2 linked regions of the Lonchura striata genome follow. The protein of the gene in region 2 purifies or fractionates together with the protein of the main gene of each other region. This does not show direct contact. Links are inferred from orthologs where the notes say so. Each region holds a gene or a part of one and is shown on either strand. Other genes may lie near its edges.

Evidence for each region. The genes of interacting proteins can lie anywhere in the genome.
Region 1: the proteins of WWP2 (region 2) and POLR2D purify together in Homo sapiens (affinity purification with mass spectrometry; 3 studies listed by BioGRID and IntAct, with this or other methods). This does not show direct contact. The link is inferred for Lonchura striata from reciprocal best matches to the Homo sapiens genes WWP2 and POLR2D.

The regions. Positions count from the first base shown.
Region 1 is NC_134612.1:4,369,548-4,377,362, reverse strand, and holds the start of POLR2D (DNA-directed RNA polymerase II subunit RPB4), read right to left. Parts: upstream 3,079-7,815; 5' UTR 3,055-3,078; coding exon 2,982-3,054; intron 2,178-2,981; coding exon 1,997-2,177; intron 1,542-1,996; coding exon 1,446-1,541; intron 366-1,445; coding exon 287-365; 3' UTR 1-286. UniProt on the Homo sapiens protein: Core component of RNA polymerase II (Pol II), a DNA-dependent RNA polymerase which synthesizes mRNA precursors and many functional non-coding RNAs using the four ribonucleoside triphosphates as substrates.
Region 2 is NC_134615.1:23,108,358-23,115,607, reverse strand, and holds the start of WWP2 (NEDD4-like E3 ubiquitin-protein ligase WWP2), read right to left. Parts: upstream 3,096-7,250; 5' UTR 2,983-3,095; intron 909-2,982; 5' UTR 895-908; coding exon 825-894; intron 355-824; coding exon 207-354; intron 1-206. Other genes in the region: RNA-binding protein NOB1, read left to right, coding at 3,208-3,270, 3,384-3,516, 3,611-3,744, 3,874-3,945, 4,016-4,147, 4,236-4,466, 4,602-4,699, 4,781-4,925 and 1 more. UniProt on the Homo sapiens protein: E3 ubiquitin-protein ligase which accepts ubiquitin from an E2 ubiquitin-conjugating enzyme in the form of a thioester and then directly transfers the ubiquitin to targeted substrates.

The DNA of each region.
Region 1 (7,815 bases), on a different chromosome or scaffold from region 2:
TGGGGAGAGGGATTAGGGAAGAAACATAAATACTTGAGCCACTGGGAAAAGGCCTTTCAGGTTCTTTGCTCTCACAATACAGGGGGTCCTTGTCAACATACACATGGAACAAACCAAAAGGACAATGCTGATCTCCAGTCTGAATGCACCTGTGGCAACACAGCACTGGAGCACCCTGCATCCACAACTGCTCTCACTCAGCTGGGAGCTGGACTGATCCAGAGGGCTGAGAAACAGCCCAGCTCTTCAGGTTTTTCTGCTCAGATAAAGGGGCTGAGGGTTAACCTTAATACTGGAAGCTGCGTTTAGTCTGAATGTCGTCAAGAATCTGTTGTAATTCTTCATCTTCAAACCGGCCCTCCAGGCTGCAAGGTAAGAGCAATAAAGAGACATTAAAGGTTTCAGAAATCATCTCTCTCCCTTGATTTATTTCAGTCATAACTCTCTCCTGTCAGTCTCAACACACTGTGTCACCTACCTGTGACCACTAGGAACCACCTTTGACATCACTTTACAAAGAGTGCTCTAATCCCTATGCACTGCTTCCTCTTTACATGACAAAACTCCTTCTTCCCAGAAATTTCACAACTTGTTTTCAAAAAAGGCAAGGCAGGTGTAAGCAGAACTCTAAATGAAGTCCATGTAGCTGCATGCTCATAAGCCAGTCCATTCTTGCTATGAAATCCTAACATAAAATCATGGAATGGTTTGGGTTGGAAGGGATGTTGAAGATGAACTCATTCCAACCCCCTGCCATGGATAGGGAGGGACACATTGCACTAGACCAAGTTGTTCAGAGCCACATCCAGCCTGGCTTTGGACACTTCCAGGGATGGGGCAGCCACAGCTTCTCTGGGCACCCTGTGCCAGGGCCTCACCACCCTCACAGGGATGAATTTCTCCCCAGTATCTAATCTAAATCTACCCTCAGCTGAGGCCATTCCCTCGTCCTGTCACTACTCTCGTAAAAAGTCTCTTTCCAGGTACTGGGAGCCCATAGTTAGATCATCCCAAAGCCTTCCCTTTTATATAATGATGAATAAGGAAGAAACTGTAATTCAGATGAATGTTTCATTCCCTCCTCTATCTCAGGCCATGAGGTAACCAAACAAGACATGAAGATGTCTTGATTGGTTGCTGCTCCCACAACATTATCCACAAAACAGTTCCTCTGCTCCAACAGAAAACACTCCAAGGAACACAAACACAGCCAGCTAAGAACCCCGATTTAAGAGGTTTGCACTTGATCCAGTAAAAGCTCTCAGAAGTGCATTAGGGACATGTACAAAGTGTGTTGCTGTCAGATCAGTGGGTAGGGGAAGAAAGACTAAGACCAAATGTTTTTCCAGCAAGGCAGCTGGATTGAAGAGAGGATACCAGGGCATGGCTGGCTTTAGATCACAGGGAAGGATACAGCAGCCTTTGTACAATATATAGGTGCTTACCTAGGAATCAGAGCTTTTGCTTCCTCAGCTGTCTCAGGACACAAGTTAGCCAAACATGCCAGTTCAAACTTATGGAGCTTCTTCTGTAGCAGTAAGCTGTAAGGAAAGACAACAATTTGATGGAATCACAAGACAGAAACATAAAAGGGCTTAAACTGAGACAAATGCTTATCTTTTTGCACACTGGTTTTGGCACTGAAGTAATTTTTTTTAAAGAAAAAAGACTCATTAAATAAATGCATAGAGTAAAAAACAAAATCCTATCTGCTAACACCACTTCCCCTGAATTATTCTGCAAAGTCTAGAAAATCCTCCCAATTTAATGCAATCAGCTGTCAGTGAAATACTGAAAACAAAGCAGTCCAGAAGGCTTGACCTGGACAAAGCATAACCTTCCATCAAGAACTTCTTGCCTCATTAGGAAGCCAAAAGACTCAGAATTAAAGAACAAATCACCAACACCACTAAGATGTACTTTTGTAAAGCAGGACCAGTATGAGAGATCCAATTTTCCGACACGGTGTTTGTTCCACCCCGACTTTCCCGCTCACCTGCGCACGCTGGCGATGGTTTCGCGGTTTTTGAAGCGGCTGAAGCGCGCTGTGTAGTTCAAGGTTTTCATGAAGACTTCTGACAGCTCCTGCTCATCCTCCGCGCTCTCGTTCTGCTGCTTGCGGTGCTCGAGCAGCATGTGCACCTCGGAGTTCAGCAGAGTTTCCGCAGTTTCAAATTCTGCAGCCCGAATGAGGGAATGACAGCATGGAAAAAAGGGGAATGTGTTTAAATAGGGGAATTGCACAAGTTTGGTGTGTAATTTAGATCTGGGTAATAAAGAAGTGAAAATGTCTTTCATGGACTTGTGTGAGCTCTTTCACTGGGCAGGGTGGCTCTGAGGTGTAAATACACTTCTAGATATTATACTGCATTAATTTTCTGGAAAAAAAAAAATACACTCTGGGTCTGGACAGCTGGTTTCCTAACTGCAGCTAATTTTGTATTCACAGATTTCCAGAACAGCTTATGTTGGAAGGCACCATAAAAAGCCCATACAGTTCCACCCTTGCCCTGAGCAGGGACATCTTCCACTGTCCCAGGTTGCTCCAAGCCCTGTCCAGCCTGGCCTGGGACATTTCCAGGAATCGGGCAGCCACAGCTTCTCCGGGCACCCTGTGCCAGGGCCTCACCTCCCTCACAGGGAAGAACTCCTGTGTCAACAAACATCACTGAAAAACCTTATATCAAAAACCAACATTTTCTCTACAACCTGGCAGGATTTTAAAAATTATTTTTCAAATACCCTATACACGCCTAGAAGCCCACCTAAGAACCGCCACATCCTAGAAACCATGAGATCCTTAAACATATATAAATCATTTGTTATCCTGATTTTTAACACTGGGGGCTTAGTAGCTGCTGGAGGGGCTTTGAGCAGCGCTCCGGTCCACGGAGCCGCTCGGCGAGGCGCGCACCCTCACAGGCGGCCATTGCCGGCCTCCGACCAGCCGACCCCGCGCTCCTCGCCGGCCCCGCTCGCACCTTTGGGGAAGACGAGCTGCGAGGCGTCCTCCTCCACGTCCGCCGTCCGCGGGTCGCTGCCGCCCGCCGCCATCACCGGAAAGCCACGGCGGAAAGGGCGGCCCCGCCTCACGGCAGGCGGGCGGCTCTCTGGGCGGGGGCGGGCACGGCTCTGCCCGGCTGGGGGCTGAGGGCACTGCCCGGGTGAGGGGCGGGCACGGCTCTGCCCGGATAAGGGCTGAGGGCTGTGCGCGGGTGAGGGCACTGCCCGGGTGAGGGGCGGGCACGGCTCTGCCCGGCTGGGGGATGAGGGCACTGCCCGGGTGAGGGCTGAGGGCACTGCCCGGGTGAGGGGCGGGCACGGCTCTGCCCGGCTGGGGGCTGAGGGCACTGCCCGGGTGAGGGGCGGGCACGGCTCTGCCCGGCTGGGGGCTGAGGGCACTGCCCGGGTGAGGGGCGGGCACGGCTCTGCCCGGCTGGGGGCTGAGGGCACTGCCCGGATAAGGGCTGAGGGCTGTGCGCGGGTGAGGGCACTGCCCGGGTGAGGGGCGGGCACGGCTCTGCCCGGCTGGGGGCTGAGGGCACTGCCCGGCTGGGGGCTGAGGGCACTGCCCGGGTGAGGGCACTGCCCGGGTGAGGGGCGGGCACGGCTCTGCCCGGCTGGGGGCTGAGGGCTCTGCCCGGGTGAGGGCACTGCCCGGGTGAGGGGCGGGCACGGCTCTGCCCGGCTGGGGGCTGAGGGCTCTGCCCGGGTGAGGGCACTGCCCGGGTGAGGGGCGGGCACGGCTCTGCCCGGCTGGGGGATGAGGGCACTGCCCGGGTGAGGGGCGGGCACGGCTCTGCCCGGCTGGGGGATGAGGGCACTGCCCGGGTGAGGGGCGGGCACGGCTCTGCCCGGCTGGGGGCTGAGGGCTCTGCCCGGGTGAGGGCACTGCCCGGGTGAGGGGCGGGCACGGCTCTGCCCGGGTGAGGGCTGAGGGCACTGCCCGGATAAGGGCTGAGGGCTGTACCCGGGTGAGGGCACTGCCCGGGTGAGGGGCGGGAACGGCACTGCCCGGCTGGGGGATGAGGGCACTGCCCGGATAAGGGCTGAGGGCTGTACCCGGGTGAGGGCACTGCCCGGGTGAGGGGCGGGAACGGCACTGCCCGGCTGGGGGATGAGGGCTCTGCCCGGATAAGGGCTGAGGGCTGTGCGCGGGTGAGGGCACTGCCCGGGTGAGGGGCGGGAACGGCACTGCCCGGGTGAGGGCTGAGAGATCTGCCCCGGTGAGGGGCCGGCAACGGCTCTGCCCGGGTGAGAGCTGAGGGCACTGCCTGGATAAGGGCTGAGGGCTGTGCCCGGGTGAGGGGCGGGCACGGCTCTACCCGGGTGAGAGCTGAGGTCCCTGTCCCGGGTGAGGGGCGGGCACGGCTCTACCCGGGTGAAAGCCGAGGTCTCTGTCCCGGTGAGGGGCAGGAACGGCTCTGCCCGGGTGAGAGCTGAGGTCCCAGTCCCGGTGGAGGGCGGGAGCGGCTCTACCCGGGTGAAAGCTGAGGGCACTGCCCGGATAAGGGCTGAGGGCTGTACCCGGGTGAGGGCACTGTCCCGGTGGAGGGCGGGCACGGCTCTACCCGGGTGAAAGCTGAGGTCCCAGTCCCGGTGGAGGGCGGGAGCGGCTCTACCCGGGTGAGAGCTGAGGGCACTGCCCGGATAAGGGCTGAGGGCTGTACCCGGGTGAGGGCACTGTCCCGGTGGAGGGTGGGAGCGGCTCTACCCGGGTGAAAGCTGAGGTCCCAGTCCCGGTGAGGGGCGGGCACGGCTCTACCCGGGTGAAAGCCGAGGTCCCTGTCCCGGTGGAGGGTGGGCACGGCTCTACCCGGGTGAAAGCTGAGGTCCCAGTCCCGGTGGAGGGCGGGAGCGGCTCTACCCGGGTGAAAGCTGAGGGCACTGCCCGGATAAGGGCTGAGGGCTGTACCCGGGTGAGGTCCCAGTCCCGGTGGAGGGCGGGAGCGGCTCTACCCGGGTGAGAGCTGAGGTCCCAGTCCCGGTGGAGGGCGGGCACGGCTCTACCCGGGTGAAAGCCGAGGTCCCAGTCCCGGTGGAGGGTGGGAGCGGCTCTACCCGGGTGAGAGCTGAGGTCCCAGTCCCGGTGGAGGGCGGGAGCGGCTCTCTCCTCCGTGCGGGCTGAGGGCGCGGCTGCTTGTCCCTCTCTGAAGGGCGGCGGCCGGTTCTGTCCTGGGCGCTGCTGAGGATAAAGGAGCTCGGCTGCCGCTGTGGGCACGGAGGAGAAGCAGCGGGAGCAGGGAGGCTGAGTGCCAACTAAACAGCTCTCAGAGGTGTGTTTAAGCTCGCTCAGTAATTAGCTGCTTTTTGAGAGGGAGAGCAGCGGGATGCTGAACGTGGTATGTATGAACAGAGGGCAAACAGCTGCGACAGACCGAGACTGCAAGTCCCTAACAGGAGGGTGTACCCAGGTGGGGTCAGCCTCTTCCCACAGGCGACGACAGGACACAGTATTAAGGTGGGCCAGGGGAGGCTTGTGTTGAATATCATGGATTTCTCCACTGAAAGGATGATTAGACATTGAAGTGGGCTGCCTAGGGAGGTGGTGGGGTCACCGTCCCTGGAGGTGTTTGAGGAAAGATTGGAGGTGGCGCTCGGTGGATGGTCTAGTTGACATGGTGGTTTTCACTCAAAGGTTGGACTCAATGACCTTAGAGGTCTTTTCCAACCTAATCAATTGTGTGATCATGAACCCAAAGTCTTACAAGGCACAAAGCAGGGCCCAAGAGCAGGAGTGTGGGGACACCGAGGGAAACAGTACTCGCCCTTCACGTGAGCAAACTCTTCTGCTCTGTTCTTTAAGAAATAACCAAAGAGCTCAAAGCTGCACTGGTGCCCCTCACCAGTCTGCACAGCAGCATCCGCCTGCCCAGGGGCACCCAGACATCAAATGCATCTTCCTTCACACCAGTGGGTCAGGCAGCTACAAACAACTTCATTTCACTACCAGAACATCCTCCAGCTGGACAGCAAACTCTAACCTTAGGAAAATTGTGACTGTGCCAGAATTTCTGTCTAGCTTACTGTGATTAATAGACTTCAGGCTGTAAGGAGGGAGTATTGATATCATAAATAACATACTTCATAAGGAAGGTTAATTTTCAGACTATCCAGAAGCAATCTACAGACCCTTAAAAGTCATAGGCAGGCTGAAAATGAAGATAATTCTCCCAACACTGCCAGCAAAATAACTTGTGGAGCAATGTTTTCCCTAGGGAGCTCACATGTAAGTGCCTAATTGAAGACTCTTAAAGTAATCATCTTATTAGCCCTTACTATGTCATCCTGTGCCCTTAAAGAAAGACAAAAATAGACTGTTGAAGGATTTATTATGAAAACACTCCTATTCTCATAAACTTGTATCTGAGCCTAGGTGAATGGTAAAGGAATGAATTAAAAATAAATTAGAAGAATATGAAGAGATCAAATAATAGATTTTTAATATTTTCTATCTGGATAATGAGCATAGCAGAGAAACTGGAAAATAATTTTCTAAGTGATACAAGCAGAAAGACATTCAGGAAGATGGAATGGAAATATCTTGGGGAACATCTGGCAAATTAAACAATTTCAATTAGGCTTACGAGAAAACAAGGAAATCCATGCCAGATTGAGGAGAGAAGCATTTAAAATCACTTGGAATCCTGATGGCTTCTCAAATAACCTGTCAACTCTGAGCATTGTAATTCTCAGAGCAGTAGGCAGCTCACAGAAGTTTAAGTTATCAATTCCCCTTTTTGTTTTCCCCCAAGGAAAACAAAACTTCTACTTAAGTGTACAAAAACAAGATTTTACAGATGCAGTTAAAGAGGCTATCATGAAAGATTAATTTTATTATCACCGATGTGTTTGGTTAAGGTATCAAGAGCAAAATAAAAATGTTCCTGAATGGAAAGTGCTTCACCCACCTTTTTTTTTTTTTTTTTTTTGGTTTTTTTTTTAGGAATTTAAAAAATAAACTTATAAACCCCATAGTAAATATTGCTCAGCTGCTGCAACAAACCAAACATAGCAGAGTACCTGACCTTTTGTTATTTTTAAAATGCACTGGCTTCTTCCTCACCAATAATGACTGTTTTGGCATTTATGGATGAAATATGCGTAGAAAAGTAAGGTGAGGTTGATTAAAATAGTCACTGACTAAAGGAACTTTCAGGCAGCTTTACTGGTGACATCCTAAAATAAACCTATTGGAAAAAAACACTTGGCCAAATGTAATTTATCATGAACCAAGTCTCTAATATTCCATATTCCAGGCCAAAAAGCTTTGATCCTTGCTGGAGGTATTGAGGAGCAGATTGTAAGACAGACCTATCATGGTAATTCCTGTGTTGCCACAGTCTAAACACAGCTCCTGGAATAACTCATTGCATCTACACAGACCTTACAAAGTGCTCAGCTAAACATCTCCCTGTAATCAAATGTAGGAACAACAAGGATATCCTGTTACCAGCACAAATCTATTTTGTAATATGCTTTCCTTCTAATTCATCAGGAGAAATCTGGTTTTTAATAGGAGTTTTTTAAGCTTTCCAACAGTAATTATGTATTTTCTGTGGAGTGCCAGTGTGATGGCAGATCCTTGTGGAGATAACCACTGAGAGCACCGTGTGCCACTGTAGCCAGCATTGTACAGATGTGTGTGATTTTCATCTATGAACTTAAAGTATAACTCTTCAGGTTTAGGTCTTTACACCATTTTACCTTTATTTTTACTCCATTTAAAATGATATATCCAAACTCATAATGAACAAACATGTATGAGCAAAGTTATATTAATATCCACTAATAAAGTCATAGTAAGACTCTGAA
Region 2 (7,250 bases):
GCCTCCTGCCTGCTCCGTGCTCGGGGAGCAGAGGAAGGTGTGCGGGGACACAGGGCACTGGGACACCCTCCTCCCACCGCCCACCCAGCCTGGCTGTCTCTGGCAGTGTCCCCGTACACGGGGCAAAGCTCTGCCACCCGAGTGGCAGCCAGTGGCACGGCAGGGCACACGGGGCCGGCCCCTGACCAGGGGTCACACAGACTCACAGGGTGAGGATCTCGTTCCACAGCAGCTCAGAGACCCCCATCTGCTTCCCCGTCTTCTTGGTCTCACTGGGCAGCCCGTCGCCAGCCACCTCCACATAGCAGTTCATCCGTGCTGAGCGGCTCTGGGCCTTGGGCTTCACGGACACCACTGGGCAGGGACGAGCACAGGTCAGGCCTGCGGGACACGCTGACCCCTGCCCCGTCCCTGCCCTGTCCCCCAGCCCGCCCCTGCCAGCTCGGGTGCCACACTCGCAGCAGAGCACTTGGAGAGGGGCAGCAGGGAGCAATGCTCCTGGTGGCAGCGATGGCTGGCATCAAGCCCTGAGCACGTCCCAGCCTCACCCCTCCGAGGGGACTGTCGCTGTCCCCACGGCCACCTCCCTGCCCCAGGGCAGGGGCAAGCCGGGCCGGGGCAGCGCCAGGGCGGCGGTGTGGCGGAGGGGCAGGGCGGGCTGCGGCTCCCCGGGGCGCGGCTCCGGGCGCCGGGAGCCATCTCGCGGCCACGGCAGCACCGGCACGGCCCCGGGCCCGCGGCCACCACCCCCGGGCCCTGCTCCCCGCGGGCAGAGCGGGACACGTTCCCGGCAGGGGCAATCCCGGAGGGGCAGCAGGACCCACCTTTCACAGACAGCGGGGACTTCTCGCAGGGCGGCCCGGCCCTGGCCCTGCTGGAGCTGGCAGCGGCCATGGCATCACCCCCGGCTGGAAAGGAGAAGGAGACACTCAGCCCCGCTCAGCCCCGCTGCCACGGCACCCAGGCACGGCCCGAGGCTGCTGCAGTGCCCGGAAAAGGGCTGGGCAAGACCCGGGGCACACAGGCTCCTCTCCTGATGAACCCCCCATGCCAAAGGCAGCGCTGTGTCCCTGGGAGAGCAGCCCCTGCATGGCAGTGCCACGGGCTGAGCTGGGCACTGCCACTCCAAACACCTCTCTGGGCACCTGAACCCCTGAGCCACAGCCCAGGGCTGCTGCGGGACAGAGCAGCCACCAAAGCCTTGCCCTGGGGGACACAGACTCAGCACACATGATGGCAGGGACACGGCAGTGCCGGGCAGACACGGCAGTGCCACGGGGACACGGCAGTGCCACGGGGACATGGCTGTGCCAGGACCAGCTGGACAGACAGAGGTCTAGTCACAGCATGAGGACCACAGACCTCAAGGGCAGCCCTGGCTTCATTAATCCCACAGGATCACTGAGGCTGGGAAAGGCCTCCAGCACCATCGTGGGACGCGTGGCCAGGGCGGGTACCCGAAGCAGCGAGCAGAGCGCAGGGATGAGCAGCCAGCTCCTCCTGCCGCTCCCAGGAGCTGCAGAGCACGGGAGCCAAGCTCCCAGCCCAGCCCAGAACCGCCCGGCCAGGCAGTGCCAGCCTCCCCTCCCCAACAGGGAAGCACGAAAACGGGGAAGCAGCTCCAGCCCCTCTCCCTGTGCAGGAGCCTCTTCCCTGCCCTCTCTCTTCATCCTCCTTGAACCGTCCCAAGCTCCATCCCAGGGCAGATCCCTGTGAAATCCCCTCTCCCAGGGTCACAGCAAACCTGCCTGGCAGCCCAGGGCCTGGCTGTGCCCTGTACAGCCCCCAGCTCTGCCTGCAGGTGCCCGCTGGGCACTGCCCGAGCACTGTCCTGGCTCCATCCAGCAGCAGCCAGCGTTCCCGGACACTGCCCAGCCTCCTGGGTCACTCGTCCCAGGGATCCCAGACCCACCCCAGGGATCCCAGACCCATCCCCGCTATCCCGGACCCATCCCAGCCATCCCGGACCCATCCCAGCCATCCCAGACCCATCCCAGCCATCCCAGACCCATCCCCGCTATCCCGGACCCATCCCAGCCATCCCGGACACATCCCCGTCATCCCGGCCCACGGCTCTCCCCGGGCTCCCGAGGATATCGGATCCTGCTGCTGCTCCCGTCCCCAGCTCCCCACTGCGGGGATTCCACCGGGGCCGTACCCAGCCCTGCCCCGCCGGGGCTCCCTGCCTCCCTCCTTGCCCTCCCGGCTCTTCCCCTTCCCCCGACTCCGCACTTCTCCGTCCCTCGCTGTGACAGCGCCGCTCTCGCCAGCACCTCCGGCTCCCGGACATCGCCCGGTGCCCGCTGCCGCTCCCCGGGCACCCCCAGCGCGGCGGGGCCGTGACCGGGCCGGCCCCGGGGCGCTCCCGCCCCCTCCGCCCGGCGGGATCCCCTCGGCCGGGCCGGGGCCGCCCTTCCTCCCGGGCTCCCCGTTCCGCCAGCCCGGCCCGGCCTCGGGACAGCCGCGGGGCCGCGCCCGGGCGGCCGACACCGAACCGGGACCGGGACCGGCCCCGCACAGAGCCGGGCCGGGCGCGGCAGGCACCGCGCACGGGAGGCGGCGGCGAAGGGGCTGCCCGCGGCCCCGCCGGTACCGGGCCGGGACCGGCACAGCTGAGCAGCTCCCGGCGGCCGGAGCGCCCCACCGGGCCGTGTCCGCCCGATGGACGGGAGCGCCCCAGGCTGGGCCGGGAAGCGAAACCGAGCCGAGCCCGTCCCGTCCCCGTTCCGGTTCCCGTCCCCATTCCGATTCCGTCCCGTTCCCGTTCCCTTTTCCGTTCCCGTTCCCGTCCCGGTCCCATCCCGTTCCCATTCCGATTCCGTCCCGTTCCCGTTCCCTTTTCCGTTCCCGTCCCCGGTCCCGGTTCCGGTCCCGGTCCCGTTCCCGTTCCCGTCCCGTTCCGTTCCCGGTCCCGTTCCCGTTCCCGTCCCCGTCCCCGTCCCCGTCCCCGTCCCCGTCCCGTTCCCGTCCCGGTCCCGTTACCGGCAGCCGCTCCTCTCCCGCTGCCCGGCTCCGGCTCCCGCCGTCATGTGACCCCGGCCCGTCACGTGACCGCGCCGGCCGGAAGCGCTCCCGCGGCGCGGCGCCGCTCCCGGCGTGCCCGGCCGAACTACAACTCCCGGCGTGCCCCGTGCCCGGACCACAACTCCCGGCGTGCCCCCCGCGGCGCCGCGACGGCGGCCGGGCCGGGCCACGGGGCGCGCGGACATGGCGCGTGTTCCGCACGTCGTGGCCGACACGGGCGCGTTCCTGAGCGCGGCCCCGCTGCAGGTACCGGGGACAGGGGGACAGCGGGGACACCGCGGGGACACCGCGGGGACACCGCGGGGACGGGGGTGGGGAGGGTGAGGGGCTGCGGGCCGGTGTGACGGCGCTGCCCGCAGGACGTGGCGGACGCGCTGTACACCGTGCCCGAGGTGCTGGCCGAGATCCGCGACCGGCGGGCGCGCCGCCGCCTGGCCGCGCTGCCCTGCGAGCTGCGGGTGCGCCGCCCGCGCCCCGACCTGCTGCGGCTCGGTGAGTGCGGCAGGGCCCGCCCGGCCCCTTCCCCGCCCGGCCCCTTCCCCGCCCGGCCCGGCCCGGCCTGACGGCGCCGCTGCTCCGCCCGCAGTGACCGAGTTCTCCAAGAAGACCGGGGACTACCCGAGCCTCTCGGCCGCCGACCTGCAGGTGCTCGCCCTCACCTGCCAGCTGCAGGCCGAGATCCACGGCCCCGGCAGCATCCGCTGGGAGCCGCAGGATAAGGTAGGATGGGCGCGGGGTCCCGGTTCCAGCGGGGCCCGGGCCCCAGTTCCAGCGGGACACGGAGCCCCGGTTCCAGCGGGGCCCGGGCCCCGGTTCCAGAGCCCCACCGACGGCCCGTGCCGCCCCCAGGTGCGGCTCAGCTCCACCCTGCGGCACCCCGAGGCTCCCCTGCACCTCGCCGGTTTCCACCTGCCCGCCAAGGTAAGGCCCGGCGGGAGGGCGAGCCCGGCCCCGCGGAGCCGCGGCTGAGCTCGCCCGTGTGTGCCCCCAGCACAAACCCGCGGGGAAGGGTCCCCGCCAGCCCGGCCCGGCCCCGGCCCCGGCCGAGAGCGACGAGTTCGGCTCCTTCCTGTACTGGCGGCCGCCCCTGCCCAGCATCGAGGAGGAGCTGCAGGAGCTGCTGGTGAGAACCTTCTGCAGTCTCGCTCTGCCTCTCTGCCGGGTCGTTCCGACCCTCCGGGCCGCCCTGACCATCTCCCCCCGCGGCCCAGGCCATCACCGGCAGCCCCGAGCCCCCCGAGGAGCGCCGGGGCCCTGCAGACGGGACCAGCGCCGGCGAAGAGGAGGAGGAGGAGGAGGAGGAGGAGGAGGATGAGGAGAGCGATGACGAAGGCTGGATAACTCCCAGCAACCTGAAGCAGGCCCAGCTGGACGCGGGGCACTGTGACACTGCTCCCGTCGGTGTCCAGGTGGGCTGTGTCACCACGGACTTTGCCATGCAGGTGGGTGCCGAGCTGCAGGGCTCTGGGACAGCTCCGTGTGTCACGCAGCAGGGTCTCAGTCCCAGAGGCCTTGCAGAGCCTGCAGGGCTCCGAGTGCCCCAGCTGCAGGTCCCAGCTGTGTCCCCGCTCTCGCAGAACGTGCTGCTGCAGATGGGTCTCCACGTGCTGGCCGTGAACGGGATGCTGATCCGCCGGGCCCGCAGCTACATCCTGCGCTGCCACGGCTGCTTCAGGTGCCAGGGCTGGGGCTGAGCCCGGGCTGAGCCTGTGTTCACGGCCCCAGGAGCTCTGAACCCCCCGTGCCCCCCTCGCAGGACCACCTCGGACATGACCAAGGTGTTCTGCCCCCACTGCGGTAACAAGACGCTCAAGAAGGTGGCAGTGAGCGTCAGCGACGACGGGAGTCTCCACATGCACTTCTCCCGCAACCCCAAGGTGCTGAACCCCCGGGGGCTCAGGGTGAGTACCTGGACAGAACCCCAGACTCGCTGAGGTTGGAAAGGACCAGCAAGAGCATCAAATCCAACTTGGGACTAATCCTCCCCTTGTCAGCCAGCCCTGAGCACTCAGTGCCAGGTCCAGTCATTTCCTTGCACGCCTCCCAGGATGGGGACCCCACCTCCTCCCTGGGCACCCCTTCCCACCTTGAACAACTCTTTCTGTGAAGGAATTCTTCCACTGGGATCCCAGGGATGGGAGCCCGGCCTGTGGCTGGCAGGCTGGAAGGAATCAAAGCAAACTGCTAACATCCTCCAGATGTTGCCCTTGGACCCCAGGGCTCTGGGGCTGGGGTCACCTGGGGTCCCCGGAGCCGGGGCTGACCCCGCTCTCCCGCAGTACCCGCTGCCGGCGCCGCAGGGCGGCAAGCACGCCAACAACCCGCACCTGGTGGAGGACCAGCGCTTCCCGCAGCAGCGCCTGTCCCGCAAGGCCCGGCAGAAAACCGACGTCTTCGACCCCGACTACCTGGCCGGGGCCTCCCCCTTCGCCGAGAACGACGTGCACAGCCGGGCCGCGCACCTGCAGCTGCGCGACGCCGCCCTGGGCGCCGGCCGCCGCCGCCTCAACCCCAACGCCGTCACCAAGAAGTTCGTGAGGAGGAGGTGAGGGCGGGACGGGCCCCGGGCACACCTGCCCAGGGCTGGTGCTGGCTCTGCCAGGGCCGCTCCCAGCACCTGGCACGGCTCAGGCCGTCCTGTCCCCGCTGCGCTGGTGCCCAGAGCCGCCGTGACGGGGGTGACGGGTTTGGGGAGGCCCCAGCACGGGGAGGGCGCGGGGGCTTCCCTGGGCACCCCCGGGCAGGGGCTGTGTCACCCAATAAACACCAAACCCCAAAGCACCGTGGCTCAGTCCCATTTCTGCGGCTGCCTGTGCCTTTCTCTGAGCCTCGAGGAAAAAGGAGGCTGGGACGGAGGGAGGGAGGAGTTCTTGGATCGTTTGTCCCACGGGATAATGAGCTACAGAAGGACAAAACCCCAGGGCAGGGGCTTGTGTCCCACCCTTGCACTGGGCGATGCCCATGGCTGAAGGGGGAAACTCTGGGATCTGCTGAAATCTTTCACAGCTGACTGTTGGTCCCGGCTCTTGCTGCAGTTTCTCCTTAGCCCTGCTGAAATTGTTCAAAATAAGGAAATGCCTGACAGCAGCTGTGGCCCCTGGTGCTGGGGAGGTCACAGGTTGGGAACAGCCAAGGGGAGCACAGCTGGGCCTCCCCAGCCCCAGGGCACTTCCAGGCTGCCAAAGCTGCAGATAAAGGGCACTGGGTAAGGCACGCTCACATCCTGCTGAGGATGGGGTCACTGCAGCATCTTGGCTTTGGACTCCTGGCCTCACCTCTCTGGGCAGACTGCCTCTCCCCCAGTCCCCAAAATGACATCCCAGGCTCTGGAAGCTGTTCCTTTGGGAACTGTTCCCTTGGTCACAAGCTGGGGGCTGGGTTGGGCAGCCCCCAGGGGTTACTGGGGTCCCACACCACCGAGTCAGTGTGGTTCCCCAGGACGTTCTCCTGCAGCAGCTGCAGCACCCCAGGCACGGCTCTGGAGATGCCCTTGGAAAAACCATCACAAGACTTTACAGTGTAAAATGAAAACTTTCATCGTTTATTCTCGACTGCAGCTGTTTACAGAAATATAGTTGCGAGTATACAAATGTCCCAATAGAAGCAAAATATTTTTTTTTTTAATATTCAACAAGTTATCACAGGAGAGCTAAAAACATAGATGCAAATAAAATATCCCCTCATAGACAAACTGAAAACACCGGGAATCAGTGCTTGGAAAACCCACCTACGAAAGCCATATACACAGAACTGCACGAAGGAGTATCTGGTGCTACTTTCACATTGCAGGACACAGAAGAGGCAGCTCAGCGGTCGAGGGTGCACCCAGAACTTCTGGCAGGCAGGGAGAGCCCACCTGAGGTGCAGGGACAGAGGTTGGAGCTCTGCTCTGCAGGGGTTGGAGCTTAACTCAGCATCAGCTCAGATGGAAATAATTCAAATTGCCTCCTTTTATCCAGAATAAAGAAGCCTCAGGAATGCTGCAGGCTGCTAAGGATACTGGATGGGGATCCCAGTTCTGCAACACCCAAAGAGCCACTTCCAAACAGGAACTTCCCTCTGGACACGTTTTCCCAACGGGCAGCTCCGTGGCAAAACAAAGCCAAGGCCTTTTCCCTGTCAGGTGAACACAGGAGCCCTCCCTAATCCCAGGCCTGGAGCTGGGATGTGTCACAGAGGGCTGCTGGCTGTGGGAGCCCTGGAACCTGAACAGAGGGGTCAGTCAG